Linked DNA regions of Xenopus tropicalis. The protein of the gene in region 4 interacts with the protein of the main gene of each other region in a pairwise test. Links are inferred from orthologs where the notes say so. Each region holds a gene or a part of one and is shown on either strand. Other genes may lie near its edges.

The links.
Region 1: the proteins of nck2 (region 4) and pik3ap1 interact in binary tests that used the Homo sapiens proteins (3 or more experiments, as listed by UniProt). The two-hybrid records come from large-scale screens. The link is inferred for Xenopus tropicalis from reciprocal best matches to the Homo sapiens genes NCK2 and PIK3AP1.
Region 2: the proteins of nck2 (region 4) and efs interact in a two-hybrid assay, tested with the Homo sapiens proteins (2 studies listed by BioGRID and IntAct). The two-hybrid records come from large-scale screens. The link is inferred for Xenopus tropicalis from reciprocal best matches to the Homo sapiens genes NCK2 and EFS.
Region 3: the proteins of nck2 (region 4) and sf3b4 interact in binary tests that used the Homo sapiens proteins (3 or more experiments, as listed by UniProt). The two-hybrid records come from large-scale screens. The link is inferred for Xenopus tropicalis from reciprocal best matches to the Homo sapiens genes NCK2 and SF3B4.
Region 5: the proteins of nck2 (region 4) and vars2 interact in binary tests that used the Homo sapiens proteins (3 or more experiments, as listed by UniProt). The two-hybrid records come from large-scale screens. The link is inferred for Xenopus tropicalis from reciprocal best matches to the Homo sapiens genes NCK2 and VARS2.
Region 6: the proteins of nck2 (region 4) and lcp2 interact in binary tests that used the Homo sapiens proteins (3 or more experiments, as listed by UniProt). The two-hybrid records come from large-scale screens. The link is inferred for Xenopus tropicalis from reciprocal best matches to the Homo sapiens genes NCK2 and LCP2.
Region 7: the proteins of nck2 (region 4) and cpsf6 interact in binary tests that used the Homo sapiens proteins (3 or more experiments, as listed by UniProt). The two-hybrid records come from large-scale screens. The link is inferred for Xenopus tropicalis from reciprocal best matches to the Homo sapiens genes NCK2 and CPSF6.

The regions. Positions count from the first base shown.
Region 1 is NC_030683.2:39,660,191-39,663,690, reverse strand, and holds part of pik3ap1 (phosphoinositide 3-kinase adapter protein 1), read right to left. Parts: intron 3,365-3,500; coding exon 3,219-3,364; intron 1,632-3,218; coding exon 1,487-1,631; intron 582-1,486; coding exon 439-581; intron 1-438. UniProt on the Homo sapiens protein: Signaling adapter that contributes to B-cell development by linking B-cell receptor (BCR) signaling to the phosphoinositide 3-kinase (PI3K)-Akt signaling pathway.
Region 2 is NC_030677.2:139,732,673-139,734,840, forward strand, and holds part of efs (embryonal Fyn-associated substrate), read right to left. Parts: intron 982-2,168; coding exon 646-981; intron 560-645; coding exon 443-559; intron 151-442; coding exon 1-150. UniProt on the Homo sapiens protein: Docking protein which plays a central coordinating role for tyrosine-kinase-based signaling related to cell adhesion. May serve as an activator of SRC and a downstream effector. Interacts with the SH3 domain of FYN and with CRK, SRC, and YES.
Region 3 is NC_030684.2:128,884,673-128,887,427, forward strand, and holds part of sf3b4 (splicing factor 3B subunit 4), read right to left. Parts: intron 2,219-2,755; coding exon 1,682-2,218; intron 434-1,681; coding exon 272-433; intron 1-271. UniProt on the Homo sapiens protein: Component of the 17S U2 SnRNP complex of the spliceosome, a large ribonucleoprotein complex that removes introns from transcribed pre-mRNAs.
Region 4 is NC_030678.2:110,108,230-110,112,421, reverse strand, and holds the start of nck2 (cytoplasmic protein NCK2), read left to right. Parts: upstream 1-1,392; 5' UTR 1,393-1,435; intron 1,436-4,192. UniProt on the Homo sapiens protein: Adapter protein which associates with tyrosine-phosphorylated growth factor receptors or their cellular substrates. Maintains low levels of EIF2S1 phosphorylation by promoting its dephosphorylation by PP1.
Region 5 is NC_030684.2:75,890,494-75,893,993, reverse strand, and holds part of vars2 (valine--tRNA ligase, mitochondrial), read left to right. Parts: intron 1-669; coding exon 670-781; intron 782-1,299; coding exon 1,300-1,490; intron 1,491-2,823; coding exon 2,824-2,928; intron 2,929-3,500. UniProt on the Homo sapiens protein: Catalyzes the attachment of valine to tRNA(Val) in a two-step reaction: valine is first activated by ATP to form Val-AMP and then transferred to the acceptor end of tRNA(Val).
Region 6 is NC_030679.2:32,310,005-32,314,011, reverse strand, and holds the start of lcp2 (lymphocyte cytosolic protein 2), read right to left. Parts: upstream 2,801-4,007; 5' UTR 2,613-2,800; coding exon 2,535-2,612; intron 114-2,534; coding exon 51-113; intron 1-50. UniProt on the Homo sapiens protein: Adapter protein primarily involved in signaling pathways within T-cells, as well as other immune cells such as platelets, mast cells, and natural killer (NK) cells.
Region 7 is NC_030679.2:58,918,288-58,921,787, forward strand, and holds part of cpsf6 (cleavage and polyadenylation specificity factor subunit 6), read right to left. Parts: intron 3,046-3,500; coding exon 2,942-3,045; intron 1,395-2,941; coding exon 1,249-1,394; intron 1-1,248. UniProt on the Homo sapiens protein: Component of the cleavage factor Im (CFIm) complex that functions as an activator of the pre-mRNA 3'-end cleavage and polyadenylation processing required for the maturation of pre-mRNA into functional mRNAs.

The DNA.
Region 1 (3,500 bases), on a different chromosome or scaffold from region 4:
CCTGTTGGATTTAATTACTGTTTAAATAATTTTTTTAGTAGACTTAAGGTAGGGGATCCGATTTACGGATTATCTGAAAAACCCCAGATTTCAACGCAGGATTCTGCTGGAGAAGCTCTATTAACTGATGCGTTTTAAAAAAAAAACATGTTTTCTTATGACAGCATTTCTTTAAGACTGTTTATGACATTACCCCCTTAATCTTTTTAAATACTATATAAAGGTCATTCAGTATCGTGCTAATCTGTTTTGCAGGTAACTGAATGTTAATCTATGATTAACATTCCACTCCAGGAAGTACAAAAATTAAAATGCTTCAGAAAGAGAATACATTTCTATTTGCCTTTTTACACTACTAAACAGCCAGATATCTATGGAGCAATATTAATAGCTGAAAAGTACTTTTATATAAAATAACTAACGCATCAAATTACTCACCTGACACATGAATTCAACTGGACTTGTGGCATTTCCTAGCAAGTAACTTAACTCCTCCATGTCAGTGTAATAACTTATTTTCGCCTCACATATTTGTAAATCTCCAGAGAAAACATTTAGAAATACTAGTCCAGCCGGTAAATCTGTTTAGAAGAGAAGAGCAGCATAGGTGAGGGAAACATACCATGGCTATTGTCAGACCACAACTCAACCCACACCATAGTACATTAAATTTGCTGCCCAGAATGTATGGCCAGAGATCAAGAGCAATGGCACATGGTACATTTGTCACCTGTGATAAATTTTGGCTACCACGGATGTTTCCTTCCTACTAGCTAAAATGCAAACCGCTGGTGGGGAAGCATACGCGATGCGGCTACCTCCTGAAGTAGCCTGAAGCGTCCTCAAGAGGCAACTGCAGGCTACCTCACAACAATATGTTTTCCCACCAGCGATTTATATTATTGTCAGTGGGAAAGCTTTTCAGAAGATTAGTTGCTTACGGTAGATTAATCGCCACGTGTCATTGCCCTTAAATAGAAGGAAAGTCATTTTGGCATTTTACTGCCAATAGATTTGCCACATTAATGCAAGTTAGAATGCTATATTTATTCTGCAGAAAGCTTTACCAAACCTGAGTAAAGAGCCCTAGAAGCTCCCTCCATTTGTTTAAGACAGCTTGGTCTCCTGTAGCTTCCTGCTGCAGCTCTAGGGGCGGTAGCATAGATCACACATTCTGATGGGGGGGTGAATTTCACAAAGGCCCAAACAGCACCACAGAGGCCAATATAAAGGTCTGGTATATAGCAACTTACAGCAAAAGTTTCCAGTTTGATAAAGACTATTTAATTCCCTAAAAATTGCCTGCCATGCTGTAAATTATCGGTCCCAACTGTAAACTAAATAGTGAAATAGCAGCATTTCATTAATTCTTCGGGTATTATGTCAGAAAGAAATATTATATTATGCCAACCTGTTGATTTGGGAAAGCCAAAACCACCCCTTGATACACCCATTAAACAGAATTTAACATTTTAAAATTGCTTACCAGGGGCTTCCACAGTTAGAATATATTCATTTTGTAAAGTTGCATGTAGTCGAATGGATTGTCCATTTTGAGGATTAAAATAAACTTCATTTTTAACACAGCAATCAAGTTTACATTTAAAAATTAAATAAATTTGCGTTTTCATCTGTAAAAGACAAAGGAAGAAACAAAATTGCCATTGAATTTAGAAGCAATGATAGCTTTCTGTATTTCTGTATTGCACTGTTTCTGAGGTTTGTATAGTGTAATTGTAGCATGCTGGGACTACAAAGGAATACCTTTCTTTGGTTTGAAGTAAAAGGAACATAATTACCTACAGTTTCTGAAATAGAATACCTATGCCTGTGTTTTCTATGGGTCAATTGTACATGAGAAAATGTATCCACACCAAAAAGTATATGAGGGAGCAAACCCTGTCCAAACCATGAAAACTATGGGACTAATTATGTATGTTACTCCAACCAATCAGAAAATAGTTTTGAAAACTGAAAAGAAAGCACAGAGCTCATCTGGTTGCTATAAGAAACTGCACCACTGCAAGTTAGTAAAATAACTTTACATTTATATCCTGCTGAAAACCTATATGGCTAATTAGGTGGATGTAATGAACCACTTGCAATTACTCCTCTGTGACTGTGGTACAAACTCACCACTCGGTTATCTCTGCCCATAATGTTTTTGGGGGCTCCCAGCAATCATTTTTCTTAATCTACAACCTATTGTGGTCATGAGGGGAAGAATATGGCCCAAATACTTTGGCTATCATATAGACTCAGGGTTCATGGTAGGAAATCCTAGATTTAACATCTACACTTGTTAAACATCATAATTAACAGTTGTGATTTAATTACCGCACACCATGTAGAAGTAGACCCCTGACTATAAGTGGAATTTTATATATTTTCTTTAAATATTGCCTCATATACAAAAGGCTGCCTGACTCAGAATCTACCAAATTCGACATTAACAGAATGGAATTATAGCAATAAAAAGTAGTAGGCACTGCATTGGCGCAAGAAACATCTTAGTTGAGTGCCTAATTTACACGAACCACTAACTACACTGGATATGCCAGAAACTTCCAATTGGACAACCTATAGTTTTCAATCACAAAAAAAGAGGATTCTGTCTGTTAAACCATAGTCCTAAAAGACTCATCAGCTAACATACTTTCTATGTCAGTGATCCCCAACCAGAGGCTCAGGAGCAACATGCTGCTCACCAACCCATTGGATGTTACTACCAGTGGCCTTAAAGCAGGTGATTATTTTTTAATTCCTGGCTTAAAGGCAAGCTTTAGTTGCATCAAAACTATGTATACTTCCACATAAAGACTCCTGTAGGCTGCCAGTCCACATAGGGTCTACCAATAACTTATTACAACCCATATCTGGCACTCCCCCAGTAGACTTTTGGATGCTTGTGTTGCTCCCCAACTCTTTTTACATTTGAATGTGATTCATGAGTAAAAAAAAGTTGGGGACCCCTAATCTACTGTATGTAGTAAGGTTACATCAGGAGAGCTAAAGAGGATCACACTTTCTACTTTGAATATACAATACTGAAAGACACTAAAACCCCCTAGATGCCTAATGAATATGTGAACAGTGCAGACCTTCTAGAGTTATAGGGTTAATTTAGTACTAGGTGCAAAATAGCACAGCCTTATATCCCAAAGTAAACATCATCATTTGGCTTTGATCAATCTAATATTTGGAATAAAGTTACAAACCCCACAGCGGATCCTCTCTGGTTGTACAGATACCAGATTTCTGTGGCTTTCCTGGAATGAAGTTGGTTGGAGCTTTTCAGCTTGAAGTGCATGGCTTCTTTTAGCCTTATCATCTTCTGAATCTGTGACGGAATCAAACCCAGAATCTGAAAGTACATCAAATAAATTATATACTTTATATCTCTATTTATATAATTATAACATGTATTTTTAGCAGCATTGAATACTCTCAGGTTCTGCAGAGCAGATGATGGTTATATAGGGAAAGTTGACCATTAATTA
Region 2 (2,168 bases), on a different chromosome or scaffold from region 4:
GAATGTAGGAGGAACATCATAGATATCTTCTGGAATCTCCTCAGGCACCACAGCAGCTGAATCTGTAGACTTCACTCTCAACGCAGGACTATCATAAATGTCTAATGCTGAAATTGGCTCTCTTCTTAGTGCAGCAGGAGTATCATAAACCTGCAATTAAAAAACACTTATTGAAAAGTGAAACTTGATGCTACAATCATATTGAGAATTGTGCTTGTAACGAATCCATAACATGCAATAAGATGATTGAATATGAGTGGCAGCAGTGTGTGGATAAATGTAGTGCAAAAGCACTTGGCGTAAGGTGACTTTATGATAACAAGATAATATTATATTTGCTAAGTTGTGGAAATAATGGAGCTCTGTGTACAGTCTAAACATGTTGTTAGGATACCATTAAATGTGGGTGTGTGCAATAAATGGAATGTTCTGATGGTCTCACCTCCAATGGCTGTTGTATACATGGCCCAACCAGACGTGGTGAGTTATAAATGTCATCCTGAGCTTCTGTGGGTTGGGCAGAGAGACAAAGACGGGCAATAGAAGGGACTTGGTATACCTAAAAAGAAGAATGGGGAATATTATATTATTACATTCTCTGTCAAGTTTCCTAATTCCTGATGGCATCCAATCCATATACCTCACCTCAGTTCCAGTTTGATGCTGGGGCCCTGTCTCATGATTTTGAGGCTCCTCCCTATTTTCTTGTGCTCCTTTTTCATTTATATGTAGTCTTCCAGCCTCTGCTGTGACCCCCAGAAAACGGGGAGCCTGATACTCGCTTTCCTGTTGTGATGTCTCAGGGAGAAGCTGAAGACGATTTCCAGGAGCAATGCCTTGCTGCCCTCTCAAAGAACAACGCCACCATCCACCAAGGGATGGAGCATCTCGCTCCAGAACTAGCATCACATCGCCCCTGCGGAAACTCAGTTCCTCTGGGCTTTCAGCAGCATTGTCGTACAAAGCCTGAGCCAGCTGTGCCTAAGGAGAGACACAAGCCAAATACCGCAATTAGCGGGTAGTAACTACAATAAAGACGACAATGCTTTGTACATAAAAAAACATCAGAACTATATAAAACTAATAATCAGCCTTTGGAACACTTTTTTTTAAACATACAAAAATTTGTATTCAGACTATTAGTTTATGACATGTATTCAGCCACGATCCCCCAATTCAGCACTTTTTTTCAGGAACTACACATAATCCTGCTGGAAGCACAGTTGTAATTGCATTAAAAGATACAAAGCTATATGTTTTAATAATTAGAAAGTATAAATGCTTTTTTGCATGGATATTTGTTTTAAAATGTGGTTACTAATAGGTTTTGATTGTAGTAAAGCAAACAATATAGCATAATAACTATTCAAATAAAATTGTTTGGTAGGACAAATACTTGTGTAAAGTCATTGTGTTCATAACACACAGTCTAAAAAGACTAATCTCCACAAGGCAGGTACTTTTACCTGAATGAGAATTGTATTGCCTATAATGCAGTCTCTTTGTAATGCTGACATCCACCACTCTTGAGTGATGCCCGACTGACAGCAGCATTGCTCAGGAACAGGCATTTTGATCTTAAAGAACTGTTGTTGTTAGAAAAGCTATAGATCAATGGTTCCCAACCTTTTTTGCACCACGGACCGGTTTCAAGCAAGACAATTTTTCCAAGGACCGGGGATGGGGGGTGCGGCGCAACTAGTGCTAGTTAAATTTTATAATATGCACTTTACTATTAATATTATTATTACATACAGCTTAATAAAGTACTTTGGTCCTTGTCGTAATCAGTAGAAATCTCCCTGGGCTTTGCATAGCTATTGTCATGGCTGTGTAACGCATGAGGGAGTTTGGATCACAAGTAATTGGGAGCAGAGTTGGCCCGGTTCAACACAGCCCTGCTATAGATCATTAAAGGTGCTTCTGCTGAACACACTTTATGTACTACTCTATGTTTAGTCTTTGTAAGGTAAATAACTGATTTCCAGTGCACAGATAATCCTTCTGCATAATGGACTCCTGCTAACAAAACAGTCACAACGAAGAGGGAAGGTAGGAGGGTTGTATACTGGTTATCTGATTGCCTTCCTTGCAAGAAACAAACATAGAGTAGCTTCAGTTTCTCTGTTTGCTCTCAGGAAAGAAAAAAAAAACCAAACTAGATTTTT
Region 3 (2,755 bases), on a different chromosome or scaffold from region 4:
CAGATAGTTGTCTCTTTGTGTTTTAGCAGAGGTAATTCTCAGTACTGTCTATGGCAGGGGATTTTCAGATGTTCTTCATCCTATAGCTTGGCAAGCAGAGAATTATTGTAAATCATGTCTATCAATCGAACCCATGTTCTAAACACAATACAGGAAGAACCAATCCTCTTTGACAGGTAAAGTAAAAGTCAATTCCCCCAGCCAGACAGCCACTTAAACTACTACACAAAACACCCTGTGTTTCAGATGATCACTGGAAAAAGCAACTTGCCTGGATGCATAGCTGCAGACTGAAAAGGAAGTGGGACTTGAGGAGCAGCTGCAGCTGCTTGCCCGGCGCCTGTGACAGGAGACATTGGAGGAGGCGGCATTGAGGGTGGGATACCCGGCGGCATTGCACCAGGTGGAGGGACAGGAGGAAATGTGGGCATGCCTGCAAAAGAGAATCAAGTTAGGGCACAATGATTAACAGCTTTGTTGGTAAATGCAATCCTATACTATCTATTTACAATGCCAAAACTTGGAAAAAGTCTATCAGTTTTCTGACACTTCATAGCATGCCTGGTGCATATATTTTGTTGGGGTCACCACAGAAAGCAACAGACAGAAGATAAACAAGTGCTTCTTTGCAGGGTGCTTATTTGTACTCTTACAATGAAACAAACATTCTGTTTCTACACTGACTGCTTTCCATGCAACATTGCTCGCACCGCGGCACTTAAAATCCCAAATATTCAATCAACAGCCCCAGAAAAGCATGTCTTTATATGGTCACAGAACCCCTCAGTGACTTCTAATATCCTTATAATTTACAGTAGGGGGTACATTATCCCTTATAATACATGAGTGATACTCAGAGTTCCCTGTATAACTCAGCCTGCAGCCTTGTGCCTTTATATGGGCACAGAACCCCTCAGTGACTGCTAATATCCTTATCATTTACAGTAGGGGGTACATTATCCCTTATAATACATGAGTGATAATCAGAGTTCCCTGTATAACTCAGCCTGCAGCCTTGTGCCTTTATATGGTCACAGAACCCCTCAGTGACTGCTAATATCCTTATCATTTACAGTAGGGGGTACATTATCCCTTATAATACATGAGTGATAATCAGAGTTCCCTGTATAACTCAGCCTGCAGCCTTGTGCCTTTATATGGTCACAGAACCAGTGGCTTCTAATATCCTTATGTTTTTACAGGTACATTATCCCTTATATTTTTATTATATGGCTCCTTACATAGAATATTTCTGGGAAATTTGAGTCCAGACCAATAGAGAATAAAATGTCAATTTGGTGCCCAGACAGACAGAATTGATTACCTAGCTAGCTTTGCCTTCAAGACATATCTAGAATATTCATTGTGTTTCATTCCTGTAGAAAACAAAGCTGGCCTGTCTAACTAAGGCACACAAAGCCAGAAGGTTAACACTCTCCATGATAGATAACATCCTTCACTTAGTAAAACCCTTAATTCAGTACATACTTAAGATCATAAGGCCAAAACCCCTGCAAACTTTCAGGGAGATCAGATGATTTGCCAGACATCTATCTTATTAAAAAAAAAAGTCAACATTCAACATTGCTGTTGTAACAAAACTACAACTCCCAACTTCTGGCACTTTCAGCCCCACAACCAGTCCCTGCTTTAATGCCAGCTGAAAAGCAAAAATACCCACCTGCAGCAACTGCACTTGTTAATGATGTAATGACAGCTGGTACAGACGGAGGTGGAGGGGCATCGGCGAAAAGCTGGTGAGGCCGGTCAGCCTGTGAAAGTGGGTTTTGGGCAGCCAGCAGTCTCTCTGCGGCCGACCCATGCCGCTCTCCTTTGGAGTCCTTCTTGAAAGCATAGGAGACGGTGATGGGCCTGTTGCACAGGTACTGTCCGTTCATGGCCTCAATGGCTGCGTCCGAAGCATCAAAACTGGCAAAGTTGATGAAGGCATAACCTTTGGAGTTGCCGGTGTCTGGGTCTCTCATGATCTTGGGGGTCTGCAAGATTACACCAAAAGCGCTGAAGGTGTCATAAAGCAACTTCTCATCAATCTCTGGGTCCAAGTTTCCAATGAAGATGTTGGCGCCGACATCCAGGTTTTTGTTGTGCGCCGAGGCTTTATTTACTCTAATGGGTTTCCCATAGAGCTTTATCATGTTCATAATCTTTATGGCGTAGTCGGCATCCTCCTCACTCAGAAATTCCACAAAGCCATAACCTGGAAACAAACCATCAGAGACTGTATCACCTGTCTGTTATCTATACATATACTCAGCACGGAGTGCAACATGGCAGCTTCCATAGCTAGAAATTGATGACCCACCCCGCCATTAAAAAGGAATGATTCCTTTGTTTTCAGCAAAGCCACATATGATATTGTAGCAATGTTATCAACTAACAGTAACAAAGATGTATGATCCTGGGGGTGGAAGGAAGGACAACATAAAAGCACTATTGCTGTGAGATGCAAAGCATGTACACTTAGGGTGAAGACACACAGAGCTACTTTTTCAAGGCTACTAAATGCCAGAAAATCCCCTGCCAGACAATAGTGAGAATTGCCTCTGCTAAAACACACGGAGACAATTATCAGCAAATGATCAGCATTGTCTATTCCCGTAGCTGTGACAAGTAGCTGCTACAAGTAGCTGCTACTAGTAGCTCTGTGTGTCTTCAGCCTTAAGGTTGAACACACATGGAACTACTAATAGCAGCTACTTGTTGTGGCTACTAAAAAAAAAAAAAAGACAGTGCT
Region 4 (4,192 bases):
CAGCTGCTATCTTAAACAAAAGGCTTTTTACTCAGGTAGGTAAAGCTTTCTGCAGAATAATTTGGCGACTCTATTGGCAGTAAAATGCCAAAATGACTTTCCTTCTACTTTTAAGTTCTTTAAACGTCGTTTTGCTGCCCCTGGTAAACTTGAGGGCTGCTGCTGCCTGAGACGAGTTTCTCAATTCGCCTTATGGCCGCAGTGCCCCTGTATAATAAAATATGTTTTATGGTTGGACAGCTTTAGTCCACAATAACTATAATGACTATTATGTAGCTTGGCACCCCAAAAGCGACTATACATTTATAAAAGATTTCTAATAAGTACCATTTGTGAAAATAATTATAATATGGAGAATTGTTCATCTAATGAAAATACTAGCATAGATTAGGGGGCACATTTACTAACCCACGAACGGGCCGAATGCGTCCGATTGCGTTTTTTTCGTAATAATCGGTAATTTTGCGTTTTCTTTGCGATTTTTTCGGCGTCTTTACGATTTTTGCGTAAAAACGCTAGTTTTTCGTAGCCATTACGAAAGTTGCGCAAAGTCGCGATTTTTTTCGTAGCGTTAAAACTTGCGCGAAACGTCGCGCCTTTTAAGTTTTAACGCTACGAAAAAGGTGCGACTTTGCGCGCAAGTGTTAACGCTACGAAAAAATCGCGACTTTGCGCAACTTTCGTAATGGCTACGAAAAACTCGCGTTTTTCCGCAAAAATCGTAAAGACGCCGAAAAAATCGCAAAAAATACGAAAAAATCGCAAAAAATACGAAAAAAACACAAAATTACCAAAAAAGTCGCAAAATGTTCGTTTCCAATCGGAATTTTTCCAATTCGGATTCGAAATCGTGTCTTAGTAAATCAGCCCCTAGGTGTATACACAAACTTTATAAATATTGTGATGTCAACAGCTTGTGCACTGCTTCTTTTTCTTTTTTTGATGAACATCTTAATATCTACATTAATTTCAGGTAGCTAAAATATGAAAGTGTGTATCAGTGGCTTTTCGAGACAAGGCTCTGATGGCAGCAGGTACTGTTGGCAACAAGGACAAAGTCTTTCTTTCGTTCCCTGTCACAATTCAGAACTCCGACTAGAAAATATGAATGACTTCTGAGGAAACATCGGGGGCAGAGGCGGCAGCGAGCATGGCGGTCACCCAACACCAAAGAAAAGTCTTTTTTCTTTTGTTCTCTATCAAAAGTAGGAGGTGCGAGCATTGGAAAAAGAGATTGGGAGCTGACCAACCGCGGCTGCCTAGCAGCTTCCCACCGTGTAACACTGAGCCAGGCCGGCTCGTCACTCCCACAAGGCGGCGCGCCAATGTGTCAGTGCGTTACGTGTAGCGGCGATGCCAGTCTCGCGTGAGGAGAGATGTGGCGCTGGGAGTGTGTGTAGGACCGGAGCCTGCAGTAACAAGCTCTTCGGGAGATGTAAGTAGCGATACGGGACTAAGGGCTGTGTGAGGAACAGCGGGACTGTTGCAGTATGCACTTACTTCCAGACTTGGGGAGGCAGGGCGGGAGCTGGGGTACCAGCATGTTCTTTCCCATACATAGGTTTCTGTACCAGTGGTTTTGTGACAGAAGCTTTAGTCCCGGTAGAGCTGGATTGGTTAAGCTGGGGGTGAAGTTCAAACTCCCTCCTACCCTATTCAGTTCCCGGGACTAAAACTTCTGTGACAGAACAAGCAGAATACAAGCTGTGTAGGAGAAAGAACATGCTGGCACCCCGCTCCCGCCCTCCCTTCACAAGTGTGCAGCTCATTGACATGAACGGGCTCGGTAATCCTGCAGCGCTGCCGGTTCCCTTTAGGACCCAGAAGTCACCCACCCATTCGCCACCGATGCTGGCCCTTCCTTTGAGGGTCCCCAGGCAGCTGCTTCGCGCACTGAGCTGCTGTTACATGCGAATGATTGTATTCAGTGTGCGGGTCTGTAGCGCTGCATATTGTCTGTGTGAATACATTAGTGCGTGGGGGAAGCCTTTGTGCTATTGCCTTTACTTTCTGGCGTGTAAGTTCTTGCAATAGGGACTCTTTTTTTCAGTGCAGTTGTAAATGAATTCGATCCTCGCACAATAAATGAGTTGAAGGCGGGGATGGGGCGCAGATTTAGCGCACATTGATATTAAAGCTGAGTGGTTGTGATAAGTGCAAAGCAGGGCCAACCTGCAGCCCCACAGTTGTTTCCTATCATGCACCACCTCCAGCATGTGGCAGCTAGGTGTATGTGGGCTGGCATGGGCTGCTGGGAATTAGAGTTCAAAGGCTAAAGAAGGTTGGACATAACTGAGGGCTGCTGAATTTGGGCATTTTAGGTTTTATTGGTGGGGTGAATACCCTTCTATTATCACATATTCTCAGTATTAACACATTTGCTGCTGGATTCCAAGCTGTCTCTGGATGCAATGTCAGCACTAGAACTATTCATCAGAAGTGTTTATTCTGTTGAGCAGCAGCACACAACACTATGGGATTTATTTATATTGCTGTGTACGAGTATGTGGAGTGAAACATTACCGGTGATGTTGCTCATAGCAGCCAATCAGGTGCTTTGGTTTTCTAACTGTTGAAATCTGCTTGCTGATTGGTTGCCTTGGGCAATATCACTACTTTTTACACAGCAAGATAAATATACCCCTATGTGTGATGCCATGTGTTGGCAGGAGTGGTGTAAAGATCTATGTCACTGGACTCCAAGGAGGTGGAAGATGCCTCTCTCAAGGCATGAATCATTCCTCGCATTTGCCCGTCTGACTTAGTCTAGTCTGGGTAAGGTAGATGCAAGTAGGACTACTACCTGCTTGAATGTGTAAGGGTGACAATAAAGCTGGAAATGAATAGGTGTCTGGGTCCACTTTTTAATGGTCTGGGATAGGGTTCTTGGTCTTATTAAAAGCAAAGCTTAAAGCTTCAGTGAACAATGGCATTCTTGATCATTTCTTTCTTTATACTTTGTGGCAACAGTTTAGGCAAGGTCATTTTATGTCTAGTATATTAATACCCATCTTGCACAAATTGGTTTGCTGAGATGCAAGCGAAAAAGATTGATCTCAATCCAACTGATCACCTCTGGGTACAGCCCCCTCCTTGGCTCCTAATAAGTTTACAAATATAAGTACACATGCACTTACTGAAATTCTAGGCATGCCCAATATAGTTGATAAGCATTTACTCTTAAGGGTATGGCCATGCAAGGTGAATTGTTAGCCTGCATATAAAATAAATGCCACCCCTGCCATCTTAGTTACATTACCCAGGTGTCCTGCTTTAGATTTAGACTGAGATGTATATGCAGTAGGGTAAAAATTTCCATTTGTACTCTGCTGAGGTAGAAATACCTGATACTGCAGCCAGTATATAGCATTCCTAACATATTGGCACCATTCAGTGAATCAGGGTTTCCTTATCCAAAATTGACTTTAAGGCTTGGCCCTCCCTTCTAGTACTTCTAGTACTTCCCTGTGAGGCCATACCCACAGTTTGGCAACTACTGTTGCAGGATGTGTATCCACATGCATCTGAAATATTAATGTGCATTGCATTAAACACATAGGGTGTATGTTTGTTTGTTTTTTTCAATATGATTATAAATGCACAATATTTTGTCCATGCTTGTAGTTATGTATGTGTGACAGTAGTATGTATAAGTGATCACTTTATACAACAACTAGGATATTGCCATGCATACATTGTAAAATGTAACTGCAGATGGAGAAAAGGAATGTGTTTCAGGTAGCAGGTAAGCTTTTTTTCTGTTTTTAGTCTCCTGATACAGAGATTCTTTTTCAGTATTCTGTGTTCCACAGTCTCTCCATGTTCACTGGCCATTTGTGGTGTGTTTAGATTCAGTGGGTGGCAGCAGATGTTGAAATATACATAGGCTATAAATGTGCTTTCACAGACTGCATTGCAAACTTTGGTTTACAGCTGATTGAAAACAGAGCAAGGAGCATTAAAAATACAGTGCAATGCAGGTGCTTACGCACAGTCTTGTGAGTATGATGCTGTAGAACAACATGTGTTTATTTTAAGATCACTTTTTATGCAGTTGTTCTATAGATTTTGAACTCAATTGGCATAGCAGATGGCCGATATATTATTATGGTACAGTAGCTTTAAGGGGCATGGATCTCTACACATAAAAAAAAAAAAAAAATACACTACAGGTATTAAACATTATAGGACT
Region 5 (3,500 bases), on a different chromosome or scaffold from region 4:
AGTAGAAATTAGTGCTTTATAGTGCCCCATAATAATGCTACAGTTTGTGCTTTAAGATAACCAAATCAAACTGCACACTAAATTCTATAACCATAAGTCCATTTGTGGGATTCCAAAATATGTTTTGGTTCTCTTGTAAAATCAGTTAACCAAAGCAGATAACTGGGTTGCCTTATGACCCAGTTTAGTTTTGTCTTTTGTCAAAATAGCCCATTTATATACAAAACGTTTTAAAAGTAGCAGTGTTAGTTAACACTGCTACAAGGCTATTTATCTCTTGTTCTTTGGGGTACTGGTTAATTGCTGTAAATGGATATTTCTAATTGTTGCAAGTTATTTGGGGCTTTTAGGCTAAACAAAACTAGTGAGTTCTCATATCTAGATATCAAGTTATCTAGGTCCAAAGTTAATAGTTCTTAAATCCAAATGAACATTCTGTAATTTCATTGTTGTCTGTGTACATTGTCATATTTTATAGGCTTGCCAGAATAACCAGAAAAGTTGCTCTTTTTGTCAATTAGGAGTTGAAAGCAGTTTGCCCTTTTCCATAAATATGGCAAACATCTAATTGATTTTTGTTTGTTCGACCAGGCACAGTTTTGCCATTTTACTACATAACCCCCATCTGTAAGTAAAAAAATTATAGCCTCCTGCTCATATTTGTTGCAGGCTCATTGGAGGTACCCAGAAGAAGTGCAACAGTTTGATTTTGTGCAGTCAGTCATTAGAACTGTGCGCAGTCTGCGAAGCGACTATCACATGACTAAGGCACGACCAGAGGGTGAGTACAGATTGGCATTTGACTGCATACAAGCAAGTACTATTCAGTAGTAGTGTAGCAAAAGGCTGATGGAGGAGGCCAGGGGTTGGGAGGAAGGGTTTAATTATTTTTAAATGTAAAAAAATAGTGTACTTTTTTGATGTTACTGGTCCTTTAACTGATGCATGTTGGGAGGCAGGACACATGGACATACAATAATGGGAGTGATTTTACAAACATGAAATGTTAAAGGAAAATATACTGCTGAATACCTCTTCAAATTTTGAACTGGCAGACATATGTCTGTGTGATACGACGTATTGTATTGTAGCCCCAGGCCCCAGCTCTGCTCTCACCTGTAAGCAATGTGAGAGGAGCCTAAGGGGAACTACAAGACAACTGATGTGTTTTTGCCTCTTAAAATGCTACTGCCACAGACTCTATTTGCTGCAAAAACAAGAGCCATGCTTCTACACAAATGCAACACAGTTTTTTGTACTTAAAACCAAGCTTTATTTACCTTTCTGTTTTCTTATTAGTTCATATTTTCTGCTCCATGGAAGAACATCTCAATGCTCTTCAGTCATTTCACTCACATTTGCCGACTCTGTCTCACTCTGGACCCATCCAAGTCCATATGTTGCAAGATGCTTCTCAGTTCAGGGAGGACCCTGTTGGCTGGGCTACAGAAAAAGTGTCTGAGGGCTGTTACCTTCGTGTTAAACTCCAGGTACTATCTATGTACCATATAAGTGGTTGTGTTATTAAAGCAGTGTCAAGTGCAGTTTAAGTGATCTTTAGTCTCTTAGATGTCCAGTTCTTCCACCTAAGGCTGCCATCAGAAATTGTGTGCCCCATACTACTACGTTATTTAGCTTAAGATTCAAAGTTAACAATTACTGCCCTAGATATTCTACAAAATAGCTGGTAGGGGTACCCAGAATAAATGATAGATCAAAGTATGGGGCTTTCATTAACCCAAAAAATATCTTAGTCATTTTTAAAGACAGCAGCTTGGTCTCTTTTATTTGTGTTCTCCTGCCATAGACTTTATTTGGTAAGACTCTGATCCTAAGATCTTTTGGCTAACTAGTTCTCTTTTCCACCATGCTGCAGTCTGAGAACTATAGCAGTCAAAATCACCTACAGTTCCTGAATTTGCTTACTATTTATTTAAATGGCAAAGCTCTGCTTCTTGGGAATTTCAGGTGTGGTCATAAACATGGATGCAAGCTTTCATATGTGATCCCTACCTGTGGTTGCTAGTGCTTTACATAGACAGAGCATATCTCTTTCCTTTAACAAAAATCTGCTCCTAGGTATTGTAGTTTATCTAAAAGAAGCTGGTAAGACTGAGCTGCTTTCAGTGATGTTTTGAGCCTTTAAAGTACAGGTATAGGACCTGTTATCCAGAATGCTCGGGACCAAGGGTATTCCGGATAAAGGGTCTTTCTGTAATTTAGATCTCCATAACTTAAGTCTACTAATAAAACACTAATTAAACCCAATAGGTTTATTTTGCATCCAATAAGGATTATTTATATCTTAGTTGGGATCAATTACAAGGTTCTGTTTTATTACAACAGCGAAAAGGGAAATCAGTTTTAAAATTCTGAATTATTTGATTAAAATGGAGTCTATGGGAGGCGGGCTTTCCTTTCTTCTGATTCAGAGCTCTCTGGATAACAGGTTTCCGGATAAGTGATCCCATACCTGTAGTACCCTTTTTAAGAACTTTAAGAACAAAATTGCTGTTATTCTTCTAACCATTCCTCACTTAGTAGAGTAACAACAAATATTTATTCTTTTTGGGTTTGGGTAAAATTCATAAAAGTAAATCTTAATAATTGGTGAGGAAAAAAAGGTTGTTGATTTTCTAGGTTGTTCAATCATTATGTATCTCACATTGCAAAGAAAAATCACCAAATATTGCAGTGGTAGAGAATATGAATTGTTGCATACGTTATTGCAATTTTGTTGTGTTGTATCCAACTAATGACATAAATGGTTCCTTTGCATGCATTTTCAGCTCCTCTCACTCTTTTTGTTTGCCCATCTCTCAGGGTTTACTAGACCCCCACACAGAGCTTGCAAAACTGCACAAAAAGCATCAGAATCTTCAGCTTCAGTTTATAAACATGTCAAAATATGAGAATGGCGATAATGAGGTTGGTTCCCTCTCTCCACGTGTAATGTTACTCTGACTTTTGTTTATTTTATTTATCCATCTCTATTGTCCTCCCTCTCTTCTGATGAGTACCTTTACTCTTTTCTGCCTTGTTGGTTCTCTATTTAACTTTTGTATTTTCTGTGGAATGCTATTACATGTTTATAGCATTATACAGATTATGGTTATCAGGCAAGTGTAACATAATATTATTTAATAAAGAATCAGGGGACTCACTGTGTCTAATATAAGGGAGATTAGGGTTACACAGCATACAGGCTGTGAGGAGATTATGGAGGAATACAGCCCATTTCTGTTTCTTTTTTAATGAACAGTGCGTGTCTGTACAGTCAGACTTAGAAGACAGACTAGCTCTGTTCCTAATAGTAGGAAGTATGTGTGCGCAGTGATGGGTCTCCCAACTGTGTATAAGTGTTCATGCGACCCTTTAACTATGTGTAATTTTTTTTATACCATACAGAATAGTAATTAAAACAATGTACTTGATAAGCTATAAGCCCCCTTGTCCCTGAAAATAGTTTTGCACTGGCGGTGCCAGGAATCCCTGTCCAA
Region 6 (4,007 bases), on a different chromosome or scaffold from region 4:
TGTACTGCCTTAAAAAGACCAGTGCATTAACCATGGAATCAAATTCTTACCAAAAATCTCTTTCCGGTAATGCCTTGCTTTTTGACCAACTTTTCACAATCACGAAGGTTGTGCTTTTAAAAGGAAACAAACATAAAGGCATTTAAAAAAAAAACACACACACAAATTAATTACATTTTCATTACATAGACATAGAGTAACCAACTCATTAAGAACTTAAGAACTGATTATACCTGATAATGACACAAATAACGGTTTATAACAATGTATGGGTATTCATATGATATACTGTATTCTATAAAATGGCTTTCTGCTGACTTCATATAGATTTTATGGTGTTGAGGTAATAATACCAAAGCAAATTAGGAAAGCATAGATTTAAATATAATTATCTCATTCACAAAAAATCCTTAAATCTCTCCTGTTTATACATGACACATTAATATTAAGGAGTAAATGATGGATGCATAGAGAGACTTTTATATATACAGCAGAACCCCCATTTTACATTTTTCAGGGGACCAAAAAAATAGTATAAAATCAGGAAAATGCTTTATGCACTATATAATGGTCGAACCACAAAAAAAGGGTATAAATAAGGAAAAACTTTAAATCAGGGTATGTAAAATTGAGTTTTTACTGTAGTAGTAAGTTTGCTAAAAAATATTTTATAATTTACTGATCTACAGGAGAAAAAAGTAAATGATTTGACAAAGCATTGATAGCATTTGAGATATTGCTTGTAGACTAGCATTGATGCTACATTAGTATTATTCTTTGGTCTATATAGTCAATGCAAATGTTGTTTGCGTGTGGGTATGTGTGTGCATTAAGATACCCACTATGGAACCACATTAACCACTGACCACAGGTGTTGAATATGTAGTGGACAACACTGCCAAGCTACAAGATATCTATTTCATTGCTGTTAATGGCAATGTGTTACTGAATATGTTATTCCATAGGCTGCTAGCAAAACAAGTAGAAATGGGACCTGTTATCCAGAATGAATGTCACCTGGGGGTTATTAGATAAGGGATCTTTCCGTAATTTGGAATTCCATACCTTAAGTCTATTAAAAAAAACATTTAAACATTAAATAAACTCAATAGGATTGTTTTGCCTCCTATAAGGCGTAATTATTTCTTAGCTGGGATGAAGTACAAGGTACTGTTTTATTATTACAGAAAGAAGGAAATATGTTTTAAAATGGGCCTTCCCATAATACTGAGTTTTTTGGATAACGGGTTTCTGGATAATGGATCCCATACCTCTAAAATAATGTAACATTTTTTAATGACTTGTGCATGAGACTACATTAATTTAAAGCCCAGTAACAACACAATTTTAAAAGAGTTGTGTCTGCATTTAAATATAGTGACCTGCCACCCTTCACTTGCCAATTTGCACATTTCATTCCAGGGTTCTAACTGAGTTTATATAAAGAAACTACTTTGCCAGCTGATATTCAGGCTTCAGTTGTGCTGTAGGCCCCCCATTTAGAATCCAACTGTTTTAAACATTAAGTAAAAAATAACAGGGAACGGGGGTAATTTATAGCTCACTACATGCAAAACCTCTCTCATGTAAAACAGAGACACATTCAACATTTGACGTTGTTGCCAAACCATTATAAGGCCTTTAAAGCATTTTGTCAAACATAAGCGAAGGTAAGAAACAGCAGGGAAATAAAAGGTGGAAGTACAGCCAGTAAAGGACATAGGGGACACAAAACATTAGTGAGCAGCAGTAAAAAGGCTACAGTATTCCAAAAAGTTCCAAATTTGAGCTCAGAGAGGTGCAGCATTACTTTTATTTTGCATGGCACAAGTCTAGCCTGAATGCTAACACATGGCAAGGGTTAAACTGGCTCATTCAGATGGAGCAAACATTGTGGCATCACAGAGCTTATATGGCACAAATGGTACAATATGGTTCATGCCACAATGTGTGAAACATCTAGATAAAATGAGCTGTGTCTGTATTTCAGCAGACAAATTGCATATGGGGTAAGAAGGACTATAGCTAGGCAGAGACAAAAAGTCCAATAAACAATTCTGTCAATAAGAGGCTAGAAGCCAAGAACAAAATAAATGGGTCCCTTCTATCAAGGTCTCACAATATTTAGGAGAGTTGGAAACTGAAAACACAACTTAGTTCTGAAAAGGAAACTACTGAAAAAAGTATTTATTACTGAAAATAAATATGTTTATTTTATGTACAAATCTTAGAATGCAAGTGGTAGAAATATACTAAAAAATATATACTTTTTCTTTTCTTAGATAATAACAGCTACAAAATGCGTATCATTAAACATTCCTGCTTGCATTCTAAGGTTCTAAAAACAGGTTCTAAATACTGTGTTGTTACTGGCATTAAACAGAGTCTCACCACCTCCTGTTGACTTCTATAGGAACCACTTGATACCGCTACTGCAGAAAGTTCTTAGCTCTTATGAGCTGTGTGTGTGTGTGTAAAATGTATAACAGCAGAATACATACAGTATATATATAGTTTTATATAACAGTACTTACAGCTCTAAAATATTCAATGAGAGCTTCAGGGCTCCAACAGCTGACTTCGGAACATGAAGGGATGCTTCGGAAATCCATGTTTTTTCTCTTCTTTCTTTTTTTTTACAGAACAGGTTGTTTCATATTAGTCAGTTGCCTTCACAGTATCCCTTTGGCCAAGCCAAGAAGTTTAAAGATGTTGTCTATTCCTGTGAAATTTGTAGTCAGTGCCTGCTTTAGTTAAACAATACAGACACAATACACAATGCAGCTTTTGCCATTCAGTTACACTGAATCATCTTTTGAAAATGCAACTTCCCCTTGGTGTGAACGTTCGCTTCTCAGAAAAAGGCAACTGACTTCCTGTACCACTTCCTCAAATGAGACTCGTTTATGGTGTTAAGCTGTAGCTACATTAAAAAAAATAAACAAAACAATTATTAATCATACTCCTTCCCTTACAGCACTATTAATAGGGAATTTATGGCGCATACTTTATTTAATGGCACACAATTCTCTATTAATTGTTTGTTAACTTTGGAACTGTATTCCTAAATACTAGGCATGAAATTACAATTCAGATTATATTGAAAAAATGCAATTTATTGGGAATTGTGTACGAAATAATATAGTTATTGAGGTAACAAAAAGGCATAATCCATGTCTGTGAGTTGCATCTGAGAATAAAGGTTTAGAGGGGTGTTAGAGCTCAGTGCTACTTCCTAGCTCTAATACCCCACACAGTAGAATGGTGTTAGACAGCTCCGAGGTGCATAACATATCCTGCAGAATAGACACCACATCTTGAAAATGTGATCAAATCCAGCAGGATTCCCTCGTCTGAATTTTAGCAAAGAGGCCACATCCATTTATTTAATAAAATAGAAGTAAGGGGTCTTTGCAAATTGCTCCCCTGGTAGTTACGCCACTAGTGACTGTGTTAATCAGCACTGTATTGGTGAGGGGTGGGAGGCATGTGGGTGTCCCCCCACTTGTCCCCCACAACCCTCTAATTTGTACATCATTCAAACTTGCAAAGTAAAGAGCGGCTTAAGGTGGCCATACACGGACCGATTTTTTACTTACAAACGACCGATTCGCGAACGATCCGATGCTATCGTTAAGTTATCGTATAGTTGGTGGTGTACGAACGATCGTCGGCCCACTAAACGAGCCGACATTATCGTCCCCAAAATCGATCGGCCAGGTTTAAAAATTTTGGTCGTTTAACGATAAAATCTGCCAGTTGGTGTGAGTGTCAGACATTTGTCTTTCAACGATTGTTCTCTGCGCATGTCACGATTGCCAGCAACGACATCGATCGTACGTAGATGTACGATCGTAGGTATTTTACGATAATGATGCGACAAAATCTTTCCCGAATTATCGTTGCCCGTGGATGGCATATCGTATGGGAACTCGATCGCCATACGATCGTTTGTCGATATAATCGTTCATCGCACAACGAGCGAAATCGCCTCGTGTATGGCCACC
Region 7 (3,500 bases), on a different chromosome or scaffold from region 4:
ATAACCTTTACCAGACTGATAGATCTCAATTACTTTTGTTCTCATTTGTTCCTGAATTTCTTTGGATCTTGGCATGATGTCTAGCTTTTGAGGTGCTTTTGGTCTACTTCTCTGTGTCAGGTAGCTCCTATTTAAGTGATTTCTTGATTGAAACAGGTGTGGCAGTAATCAGGCCTGGGGGTGACTACAGAAATTGAACTCAGGTGTGATAAACCACAGTTAAGTTATTTTTTAACAAGGGGGGCAATCACTTTTTCACACAGGGTCATGTAGATTTGGAGTTTTTTTTTTCCCTTAATAATGTAAACCTTCATTTAAAAACTGCATTTTGTGTTCAATTATGTTATCTTTGACTAATAGTTAACGGTTTTTGATGAGCAGAAACATTTAAGTGTGACAAACATGCAAAAGAATAAGAAATCAGGAAGGGGGCAAATAGTTTTTCACACCACTGTATATATATATATTTTTTATTTTTTTTTTAATAGAAACTGGATTTTCCAGTGTTCCACTAGTGTTTTCACTACATAAATGGAGATCAACACTGAACAGAGAAATTAATTGAATGTGTTCAATTCTCCTGTGCTCAGCATTGATGTACACTCATAGAAACAGTGCAGATTGGAATAAAATAGCAATTGCCTCACTGTGCAGTTAAATGTATAAAGCTGGCCATACACGCACTGATAATATCGTACAGCAGGAGGCTGCTGATATCGATCGACTCGCCGATCGGGTGGGTTAAAAGATTTTGATCGGGCTGAGCAAAATCTGCCTTCAGAGCTGAATCGGCAGAAGGAGGTAGAAATCCTATTGTTTCTACCTCCATATCTGCCGTTTCAGCCCTGAACGTTAGTGGCCGATTGGAACGATCTTTCGTGAGGACGATGGTCACACGAAAGATCGAAAATCGCCACGTGTGTGGCCAGCTTAAGAATCTACCACATATCAAAAAGCAGGCACCTGTGGGTTTGTACCTTAAGTATTATACTACACTTAATTCTCATGTTACGCTGCAAAACATAAATCATATTTCTATAATGCAGTGTTGGAGTGGATTTCCTACAGGTACGGAGGTCTCCTCCCACAGGTCTAAAACATATAGGCAGGTCTGTGCGTATGAATATGATGTAGACTTAAGACTGGAAAGTTCCAGACTGTAAATGATGTATAATTTCTTTAAAGTGCTGTGAATATGCCACACTATATAAAAATAATCATACATTTAAAAACTAACATAATACTTACTTTTCCTTGACTGCATTTCAAATTGACTAAGGAACTGCTTGTTGCAAGGTGTAACAATCGGCTTCTGGCCATGCATCTCTCTTTTTGGCAAAAGATCCATAAGCTTCTTTGATGAGGATTCAGAACTAACGCATATAAGTGCAAACCTTTAAAACAAAAAAGGATGTATTTTTAATATATTTATATACAGATATCCAATTTATTCATGTTCTTTAATTTCATACTACAGGTATCGGACCCCTTATCCGGAAACCCATTATCCAGAAAGTTCCGAATTACTGAAAGCCCATCTCCCATAGACCCCATTTTAATCAAATAGTTCACATTTTTAAAAATGATTTCCTTTCTCTGTAATAATAAAACAGTACCTTGTACTTGATTCCAACTAAGATATAATGAATCCTTATTAGGGGCAAAACAATGCTATTGGGTTTAATTACTGTTTAAATATTGTTTTTAGCGGACTTTAGGTAGGAGAACCGAACTACGGAAAGACCCCTTATTTGGAAAACCCCAGGTCCCAAGCATTCTGGATATTGTGTCTCATACCTGTACTAACATTCCACAAGAGAAAGCCAAAGTAAACAAAAGCAGCAGAGGGGTTAAGATAATTTAGGGAAATGATCTCCAACCAATGTACCCTGCTGTTTTAAAACACAGAAGATGTGCTTGCAAAACAGGGTAAAACATCTAGCACGTGAAATACCAAGCAACTGAGATATTACATTTGTATACCCAAGCAATTATATTGCACACCAACAAAGGATTAAAGCTACAGTGAAACATCACGGCAAATTGATTTCATGTATCTATATCAGTGCTGTCCAACTTCTGTGGTACCGAGGACCAAAAATTTTCTGGCCTACATGGTGGAGGGCTGATAATGGAAGCCAGTTTTGACCACTACCCTTTTTTTAAACTGCACCCACTTTACACCACACCCATGTAATCACAAGAGCTTTTAAGACCATACCCACATTAATGGTGGTAGCACAGCAAAAACCCAGACTTGTTGGTGCTCACTGTAGGGATATTTCCCTTCATCTGAAAGAATTATATTATGTCTAATTAAGACACGCTCTTATATCCACATGCCCCAGCATATAATTACACACCTTAGGGACCATATAATGATTATTTCCAAATGCTTACAAACTCTCAGAACAAACCACTGCCAGGTTCACCTCCCACAGGCAGTGTATTGCACACACAAGCAACATAGGGCAGGCAAATTATAGCACATATACAGGGAACATAGAGCAAGCAGAGTACTGCCTGTGTGTGCCATACTTTGCCTGTCCTACCCTGCCTGCCCTATACTCACTGTGTGCCATACTCTGCCTGCCCTGTGCTGCCTGTCTGTGCCATGCTCTCTGCCTGCCAGAGAATAAAACAACCTGCCTTGACGGTCTAAGAACTTATCATTAAATGCAATTACCAGCGCAGGTAAAAGAACATTTAGATCTTTGCATTTATTTACAAGTATATTAAAATGTGTCCAAAAAAAACCCTTCTGGTATTACTCACCCCCTATAAACCTTCTTGAAACCTTATCCTGACTCAAGACACTGCTATTAACAATGTAATATGGCTGCTGTTACTTAAAGGCAGAACCTTTGTCAAACTTAACATCCAAACCATTAAACCTAAGTAAAACAATTAGCAGAAAATCCAGAAAAGCATCCAATCTTACCCCTTTGACTGGCCATTGGCCCGATTTTCAAAAAATTTTATTTCCAAAATATCATTAACACCCAAAGAATGAACAGCATCTGTCAAGTCTTCATCAGTTGTCCACTGCACAAAGAAAGGAAAATGATGAGACACATTACACCTACAGAAATAAACCATTCTATGCAAAATCATTTATAGAATAGAAATAAATCATGCATAAAAATGCAGCTACTGTATATGCAGAAATGTCAAAAACCACACAAGATAAAATTTAACAATTGTACTTTTCTCACATTTTCCAAGATAAGAAATAATGATGTTCTATAAAGAATACGGAATTTTTTAAAGTGTGCAGGCAGATTTTGCCCCAAACACTTGAGTTCATATATTAATGTAGTTTATATGAAACTGTCAATCAGATTCAACAAAGATATAGGACACACTGTTGAAGTGTAGATAAAGGCAGATATATGCCTTTCACAGGAATAAAATAAATGCAGACAGCATATTTTTAGTGGTGGTTGTTTTCTTGTGCAGTGGTCAAAACACCTTGTGCAGCATGAAATCAACATAAACTA